2 linked regions of the Oryzias latipes genome follow. The protein of the gene in region 1 interacts with the protein of each later gene in a pairwise test. Links are inferred from orthologs where the notes say so. Each region holds a gene or a part of one and is shown in the gene's direction. Other genes may lie near its edges. The genes, in order: gtpbp3 and parp11.

Region 1 (4,336 bases):
CCCTGTTCTTAACAAAGAAAGTTTCGTCATCCGTAATAATATCCACGACCTCGCTGATACTGTTCTAGCTCGGCCCACTGACTGTACTCAACAGCTGCGAGGTGGCAGCTGTCACACTTTGTGCACACAGTGAGCCTGGTAAATTATTGAGATCTGAGGTTATAAACTGCTACCTGGATTCAGGCCAAACCTTTTCTGCATAAGTGCAGTCTCTTTTCTTAGCCATCTCTCCTGGATCCTTTGTTTCTGTGCAGCCCTCCCTCCTTACGTGATGCTCAACACAGGAGCATCCATGTGTGAGCAGAGATTGTGCTTACTCACCATCCTTTGGGTTGACAGGTGCAAGGCAACTTATAGGGCACACACATGAGTTCATGTGCAGTCTATGCCTTGTTTTTTATGTTTTGCAAATTGCATGTGCATTCTGTGAAAAGGAAAAAATAGTGGCCATAATGATTCTACCAGTTCCACTGCTCTAAACAAAGTACTTTACTAAAAATGTTTTAAATGTAAACAGTTGGATAATAACATAATGATGATGAAGTAGGTAAAGAAATAAAATAAATAAAATTTAAAAAAATCATTTCAATACAGGAAGACCCAAGCTATTGTTTAACATGTCCTTTGTTATTTGGGTTTTGTTGCAGAAATAAAAGTCCTGTATCATCTTTTTTGTTTTACCAAATTTACTGCCATTATTTAAATTTGTTTAAATTCTGTCGTGAATTTCAATATTATCAGCTAATATATATTTACACAGGGAAACCAGCAAAGATACAAAGCGATAAACGCGTGGTAATTGTACTCGTATCTGTATTTATTTATTTAACCTTTACTTTACCAGGAAGTCCGTTGAGATTACATTTCTATTTTGAGAGAGACCTGGCCAAGAGACCCCCCCTATGGAGTCCTATACTGTTCATAATTAAATAAATAAATATTTAATTCAATAAATAAATATGACGTCATGCAAATACACAGACTCCATACCCCCCCCACCCCCACACACACAAATAATATATAAAAGCTTAAAAGTAAAAAAAAAACAACAATAATAATAATAATACATTGTGCATTCAAAAAAGAAGTGTATTATTTAAAGTGAATTTCATTTTAAAAAAGTAAAGTTTTTAATTTAAGACATGTTATTCTTAATCATTAGTATTTGATAATGGTAAAAACGCTTTTTCTTTCTATTTTATTTAAAAAATAAAATTTAACCACAAGAGTTTAAATTAAAAAAGCAACTAAAGAGCAGCATAGTATCAGACGGACGAATAGGTTAGTGAAGGTAAGGGAAAACGAATGTATTGTTTGTGGGCTTTAAATTCAAAATTTAGCCTGCCGCATATGTTGGCCAGAAGGGGAACACTAAAGGGGTGGATATGTTTTGACGGAAGATGTTTCCCGATGCACAAATGGGCGAGGCTTAAATTTGATTGACGTGTGTTAAAACTAATAGAAAATGAAATGTGGAAAACGTCGACCAATCATTTCCCGGAGGCTGAACATGCGCTGATAGACAGCAGCGTGAGATTTGACAGAGTAGAAGTTGTGAATCTAACAGTGGAAAATGAATAACTGTTATATTAGTTTTGTTTGTCGACATTTCTCTGCTGTTATTGCATTTCCTGGCGACCTTGATTAGAGCTAACCGGGGCTAAAGATGTCTCTATTTGCAACAAAACACGTTATGGAATAAGAAGAAACAACGCGACGAAATGTTAATAAATACGTAACGTTACACTTAGTTAACTAATGTAAAATTATGTTACCGCTTCTATCTATTTTTCGGGAAATTCGTAGAGCTGCAGTCCACACACACAGGAAAAGGTTTGCTTTACATTTATACAGCGTTTTATTTACTGCTTTAAGTCTTTTTTTTAATGATAGAGTGGATTAGATGGGGTAAAGGCTCATAAGTCTCCCTATTTTTTAACATTCAAAATGTTTACTTTGTGTTGAATGTATATCAGCAAGTTATCAGTTAGAAAGTGTATTGAATGTAATTAAAAACTAGAATAACTAAGTACATCTATCCTTTCCAGTCGAGTAACTACTCTACATCAGCTTGTGTCCACCTTTAATGGAGTTCCAGCTGGCCTGGCAGATGCAGACACCATCTTTGCGTTGTCATCAGGTCATGGCAGATGTGGGGTGGCTGTGGTCCGTGTCAGTGGTTCTGCCTCATCCATGGCTTTGAGATGCATGGCGGGGCTGAAGTGCTGCTTGCCTTCTCCTCGGACAGCCCTGTTACGCAGCATAACAGACCCCAACTCCAAAGAGATCCTGGACCGTGGCCTGGTCCTATGGTTTCCTGGTGCAGTACCAACTAATTCAAATGTTTTCGTGTTTTCATTAATGCCTTTAAAATCCAGAAAATTTAAGGTTATGCTCTTGATTTGGTCTGATTAACATTATATCAACAACATACCATCAACTAAAACAACATGATGTTCTCAGTGGGAGAATTGTGGGGCACTAAAACCACCTTACTCATAAATACATATTGTTTATTACCATTTCAATTCTTTAAGATGTTTTTAACATGTTGATTTATCCATCCATAGTCCTGGTTTGCTCAAATCTTTTTATTTGCGAACTAATTTTTAGTATTTGGCTGAAAAGTGCAATTCTTTACATGTTTTAGGTCCTCATAGTTTCACAGGAGAAGACAGTGTTGAGTTCCACATCCATGGAGGTCCTGCTGTGATTACTGCTGTCCTACAGGCTTTGGGTAACAAAAACAATCAGTTTCAATAATACAATCTTTTTTTTTTTAAATTAGGTCTGTATTTAATGTTTTTTATTTTTATTTTATGGGATGCTAAATAAATGTGGTTTGTTCAGCATGACAATTCTTTGAATTGCATGAAACCCCTGCAGTCTCACTCTTGGCCGCTAGAGGACAGTGTTACACAAGTTAAGAGGAGGAATTAGGTGGAAGTTAAAGTGCTAAAAAGCTAAATCAATAGCTGTTTATTTATTTATTACAACATCACAGTATTTATAGTGTATTTTTAAATCAAAAGAGATTTAGTGCTTTTGATTAAAAATGTTGATCAAATATTAAAACCCCCTTTTCCAGACGAGTTGCACTTACCATTGTCTCTTGATGAAATCTGATATTTGGTTGAAAGCACTATGCATTTGCAATCTGGAGAACTAGCAGATGTGCCTGTTTGTGTTCTTAAGCTGAAGTGACATTGTGACCCTGTGTTTGATCGTCTGCGTTTCTGTGATCCAGGCTGCATGTCTCACCAGTTCATGTTTTTGTTTGTGTGCACGTTTTGCAGGAAGCATGCCTGGCATGAGGCCTGCCGAAGCTGGGGAGTTCACGCGAAGGGCTTTTCAAGCAGGAAAGCTGGGTTTAACTGAGGCGAGTGAAATCCATTAAAACGTCCCATGGTGCATCAGTGTGTTGTAAACCTTTAAAGGTTATGAAATCATGAAGGCATTTTTCATCTGAAGCCAAAACTGCAGAAAATAATCTTTCGATTTTCTGTGCTCGTCTTATTTCTGTCTTTAGGTTGATGCATTTGTTGCATTACGCCGGACAAATACTTAAATGTTTGCAGTAAATTGTAATTGACTTTAATCTGAGCTTTTATTTTTGAAAAGGTAAAAAAGATACGTGAAAATCCAAAATAGTTTAAAGTTTTTAAATACAGTAAATGTTAAAGCTTATATTCTGATGTTACAGATGCAACTTACAGTTTCCCCAAGCCATCAGGTGTCAGTCTGGCAATAACAAATTATGCATATAATTATGAATAAATTGTCACTTTAATGGCATCACTTTCAAAATGGTATTGCAAGAATTAAGCATGAGACCTGTGGAGATCAAATGTGATTTTTTTTTTTTCTTTCAAAGGTTGAAGGACTTGGGGATCTAATCCATGCAGAGACAGAGGCTCAGCGAAGACAAGCTCTTCGACAGATGTCTGGAGATCTGGAACGCCTCTATCAAGGCTGGAGCCACAGACTGAAACGAGTAGGTCTTCTGTTACCAGACACTGCCTTCATTCTGAAGGGTTTCTTTCTGAATGACAGTTGTAATGCTTTTTACTGGAGAATAATCCCAATGCAAGAGATCGCTTTGTTTTAAAATGAACCTGGTCTCAGATCCAGTAAATAGTTTGTCCTTTCTCCATTTTGGTTTTAAAAAAACAAAAACAAGGACACATCACTGCATGAAATCACAGTGGTGGGCAGGAATGACCTCCAGAGCTGAAGAAGTCTCCAAATAAAAACATTTCGTTGTTAGACCATCCTGACAGCAGAAACAATTCATACTGCAGCTTTCCCCTCAAGAGAGACTTTGGAAAGAACCTGT
Region 2 (4,284 bases), on another chromosome or scaffold:
ATTAAGGAGAAATATATTTTATTGGATATTGTAGAGTCCCACCTTTGTCATTATTGCACATTGTATAATAGTCATGTTATATGCTGTGACATATTTTAGTTGTTCATTGTTCTAAATTGCACTTGGTGTCCCGGTTGTTTAACAACAGTTTTGCTATATACAGTTAAATAGCTTAAACAACTGAATAAATAAGTAAATTGTGTTGCAGGGGGGATTATGTGTGGTTCACTCTTTCCTCTCTCATGTCCTGTGCTAAGATTCTGACTGCCGCTGGGAAGAAGCTGTTGTGGAAGTGTGTCCTGTGTATGTGGATGCTTTTGGGCTGCTGTGTCTGAGGTTGTGGCCTGAGTCCCCACACTGGATCAGTGCGTAGGCATGGTGGTGTCTGTCCCTGAAGACAACAAAAAAGAGACCTAACACACATATTTTGGGACCACCAGATTAATAGAGATTGTTGGATCAAAGTTAAAGACCCACTCTGACAGTCATTTTTTTAAATAATTTTTAGCACGTTCACGTGGCATTTTTCTGATGATAGAAGGCGTGTATAATATAAAATTAGGCTTAAAAATGCATTTCTGAGTATTTATTCATGCAAATCATTGTGAATCAGGAGCAGACAAAAAATGCAGATGATGAAAGTATGTATTTGTGATGTAGTAATACGACGGGCCAGAAGCTCTAAGCAACAGGGAGGGAAAGGGGGGCGGGGTTGCTCTGCGCCAACGTTTCCGCCCACAGCTCAGAGGAAAATGTCTAATATGGTACTGCCGACCTGCAAAACTATTTCCTGGGAAATGGCACTTTTTTTTTTTTTTTTTGCCTACTAACAGTATTATTATAGTTAAAAGACCACTAGAGATGAGTGGGACTTTAAAACAAATGTATGTACCTTTTTAACTAATAGTTGAATAGACAATGGAAGTTAAGATCTGAATTCTTTATCATACTTTTACTGCTGAACTTATCGTTTTTCTGTCTGTGTATTGTTAAATTTATGTGCCATGTTGGCTTTTGGAATGTTCTAACACTCTCTCGTTTTAAGTGGATTACATTTTGTTTTTCCATAGATTCTCGATTTTATTTGTATCACCAAACTTGAAATATATAGTTAAAATCAAATGGTTGTTTTAGCCATCATTAATTGACTGAAAAACACGAATCTTAATGACTCCTCCTAACACTTTCCTTCATTGAAATTTGTGCCTGACAGAACCAGCTCAGGGCATTTACAAGCGGGCGATAGAGGAGGAGCCCACAAGTCAACGTCATGCTGTTGCGTCGCTAAGTAACAAAACCAGGAAGTGAAAGTAAACAACGGATTTGAGGAGGAAAATGATTCAGTCTTCAAAAGAATAGAATGAATGCGTGATTTGGCAGATTTTCTGGGCAGAGAGCACGGCCTTTTTTATATTTCTCTTGAAAAGACACAACAGCAGACTAATAGGATTGTATTTTAAGCTGAGTTGAAGCGACAGTTGCTAATGTGAGCTAGCTTGATACAGCGAATTCCTGTGTTGTTTTGATTTGTTTACAGGATGAAATGTCCCCGCGACTATGGTTTAAACACTGCTCATCAATGTTAGGTTTGTCTAATGTGTCAAACACAAGTCGGAGTCCCTCTCCTGTCATTTGTTTCAGTTACAGATTGCCTTGAAGCGCATTTGTATAATGTTATTTGTGTTCATTTCAGATTTAGCTATGTTAGCCATCAGGTCGTCAGAGGAGGAGTCCCCTGAGATTGAGGAGATGGACACCTCCGAATCCAACTGGTGCTGGTTCTACCTAGCCGAGTGTGGAGTATGGCATATGTTTGAGGTAGTTTACATCACGTCACCTTTTTGGATAAACTTGTCAAAAATATTCAATAACTTGTCAGAAAAAAATAATAAAAAGTTTGTATTTTGTTTTACCAAATTTTCTGAGATCCAAAAGCTTTGGGCAGCTATACTGTCTTTCAAAAACAAAGTATTTAAAGACTCACTCCAATAAAAGTTGTTTGTGTTTTTTTAAACATGTTCTTGTAGCATTTTTCTCATGATGGATGTCATGCATAAAGAAAATTAAGCTCAACATTTTATTTATGTGTATTCCTGTATTCAAATCGTTGTGACACAGGAGCAAGCAAAAAGCGCTGATGGAAAAAGCTTGTGTAGTGGTGACGTAGAAGCCACTATGGCAAGCCACAAGCTCCCTCCCATTCTGATTCATCATACATGTGCGTCTTTGTTTTCCTCATCTCAGCTGGCATCTGGCTCTAAATTGTACGGCTCCGATATTGCTCGCCATCTTTGTTGAACCGCTAATGTTAGGTTGCCGGTGTGATGGACTAGCAGGAGAGTATGTAAACTGATGGATGATGTGAAACGAGATGGGCCTACTCGCACCAACAGTTCCTCCCACAACTCAAAGGCAAATTTCTGAAGTACTGCCGCTCTGCAGAAACTTTGTCCTAAAAAGACAACACAGGTTTTTTGCTAAAAACACCATAATCATAATTAAAAGACCACTGGGAACGCGTTTACAATAGATCAAAAGATGATTGAAGTAGGACTTTAATAATTCTGTTCCTCTTCTTTTTTTTACCCATAGCTTAAAATACTTACAATTTCCTGTATGTGAATTTAAAAAATACTGTGCACTAAATTAGTTAATTGTTTGAAAAAAAAATCTCAACAGAAAAAAAAAACTCATTTTGGAGAACATATTTTAATACAAATGTAGGTTTGTTACCAAAAAGACATGTTTATATTTAAAAATCCTAATCTCCTTTAATGTAATTTTTTATTGTAAACAATAAATTGTAAATTTATTTTGAGGTTATTGATTTCTTACATCAATATCAAAAAAGTAAACAATTTAAAAAAAACGTTTTTTCACTTTCTTCCCCTATTTCATGTGACAATTTAAGTATCTGGTGGTTGCATTTTGAAATAATTTATTTAGGCAATCCATCTCAAATTTTTTTTTTGTTATTTTGAGACATTTAATGAGTATTTTCGTTTTTCCAGATGTAAAAAAATATATTGTGTGGTAAAGCTAAGACATTGGGGGTGGTGGAGTGGGCCTCTTGCAGCGTAGTGGCCCTGCAATGGCTGGCGTGAATGAAATACTATTATTTTCCTCTTTTCTTGTCTCTGTCAGATTGATCCAAGTGCAGCCTGTTCAGTGACGAGTGCTCAGATCGAACAGTGCTACAACAGGAACCAGCGTGGGATCATGGAATTTTACACCGCCAAGTACACGTACAGACTCGACTTCTCAGGTGAGAAAACATACAAGGAAATTATTTGCAAACTGTTATTTTTTTGTCGTTTTCTTATCTTTTATGCAATGGTTTTCCAGTTATGCGACAGATAAACGTGACAACAGGAAAGCAGAGGCCAATTAAACGCTCCCTCCATTCTGCAACTGGCTTCAGGTAACATTTGTTATTTTACTTTGAACAACTGCCTTTTTTTTGTATCTGGTTTTTGTTCTTGTCAAATGAGGAATTTGGTTCACAAAAGAATAAAAGCAGCTTTACAAATTGCATTTCCCTTTTCAATCTGCATTTAACAGAGGTGAGATTATTTTAATTTACTTTTTCCCAATCCCTTTTAATAAAATAATCCCACTCTGACAATCATTGTGTTTAATGGAATCAGTGTGCCATGTGGGTGTACTATATTTATATCTGCAAAATTGATATTTATGGTTAGTAGTGATTATAATCTAAAGAAAAAAAGCAGAATTTTTCGTTCCTTTTTTTATTTTCTAATCAATTTATGGATTAATATCTGAAATCCATTTCCTATATCAACAAATTTTTGTTCTTGTCGTGTTTTTTTACTTTGTTTTTATCGCTGAAGTTGCTTGAAATAAAATAAAACAAACAACAAATCCTTATTACGATGTCTTACAAATCAGGTTTATCTGCGATAACCTCGCCTTACCTGTTCCTTGTCACTGGGAGAGGATCAATACAGACGAGCCTTACCAGGTGAGCAGAAAGATAGCCACATTCAGGTACAGTTATCGCTCTTCTAACAGATTTTTAGTTTTGGTCTAGCTGATATTGAACCAAACACACTCTGTTACAGTTCTATTTATTACGTTTTAATGGTGCGCATATAATGTTGAATTTTTAGCTCAGTTTTGCAAAATGCAAATCAAGTAAACAAAAAGTAGCAAGAGAAGTGGTTGAGCAGGTCGAAGGATCTGTGGTTCGATCCCCGCTACAACTGTTGTTGTGTCCATGGGCAAGACACTTCACCCTCCCTGCCTCCAGTGTTACTCCACTGG

What was found.
Region 2: the proteins of gtpbp3 (region 1) and parp11 interact in binary tests that used the Homo sapiens proteins (3 or more experiments, as listed by UniProt). The two-hybrid records come from large-scale screens. The link is inferred for Oryzias latipes from reciprocal best matches to the Homo sapiens genes GTPBP3 and PARP11.

The regions. Positions count from the first base shown.
Region 1 is NC_019862.2:14,620,827-14,625,162, forward strand, and holds the start of gtpbp3 (tRNA modification GTPase GTPBP3, mitochondrial), read left to right. Parts: upstream 1-1,489; 5' UTR 1,490-1,768; coding exon 1,769-1,833; intron 1,834-2,048; coding exon 2,049-2,320; intron 2,321-2,650; coding exon 2,651-2,737; intron 2,738-3,296; coding exon 3,297-3,379; intron 3,380-3,874; coding exon 3,875-3,994; intron 3,995-4,336. UniProt on the Homo sapiens protein: GTPase component of the GTPBP3-MTO1 complex that catalyzes the 5-taurinomethyluridine (taum(5)U) modification at the 34th wobble position (U34) of mitochondrial tRNAs (mt-tRNAs), which plays a role in mt-tRNA decoding and mitochondrial translation.
Region 2 is NC_019881.2:15,836,613-15,840,896, forward strand, and holds the start of parp11 (poly [ADP-ribose] polymerase 11), read left to right. Parts: upstream 1-1,268; 5' UTR 1,269-1,543; coding exon 1,544-1,586; intron 1,587-1,693; coding exon 1,694-1,818; intron 1,819-3,144; coding exon 3,145-3,265; intron 3,266-3,345; coding exon 3,346-3,421; intron 3,422-3,909; coding exon 3,910-3,982; intron 3,983-4,284. UniProt on the Homo sapiens protein: Mono-ADP-ribosyltransferase that mediates mono-ADP-ribosylation of target proteins. Plays a role in nuclear envelope stability and nuclear remodeling during spermiogenesis. Inhibits the type I interferon activated signaling pathway.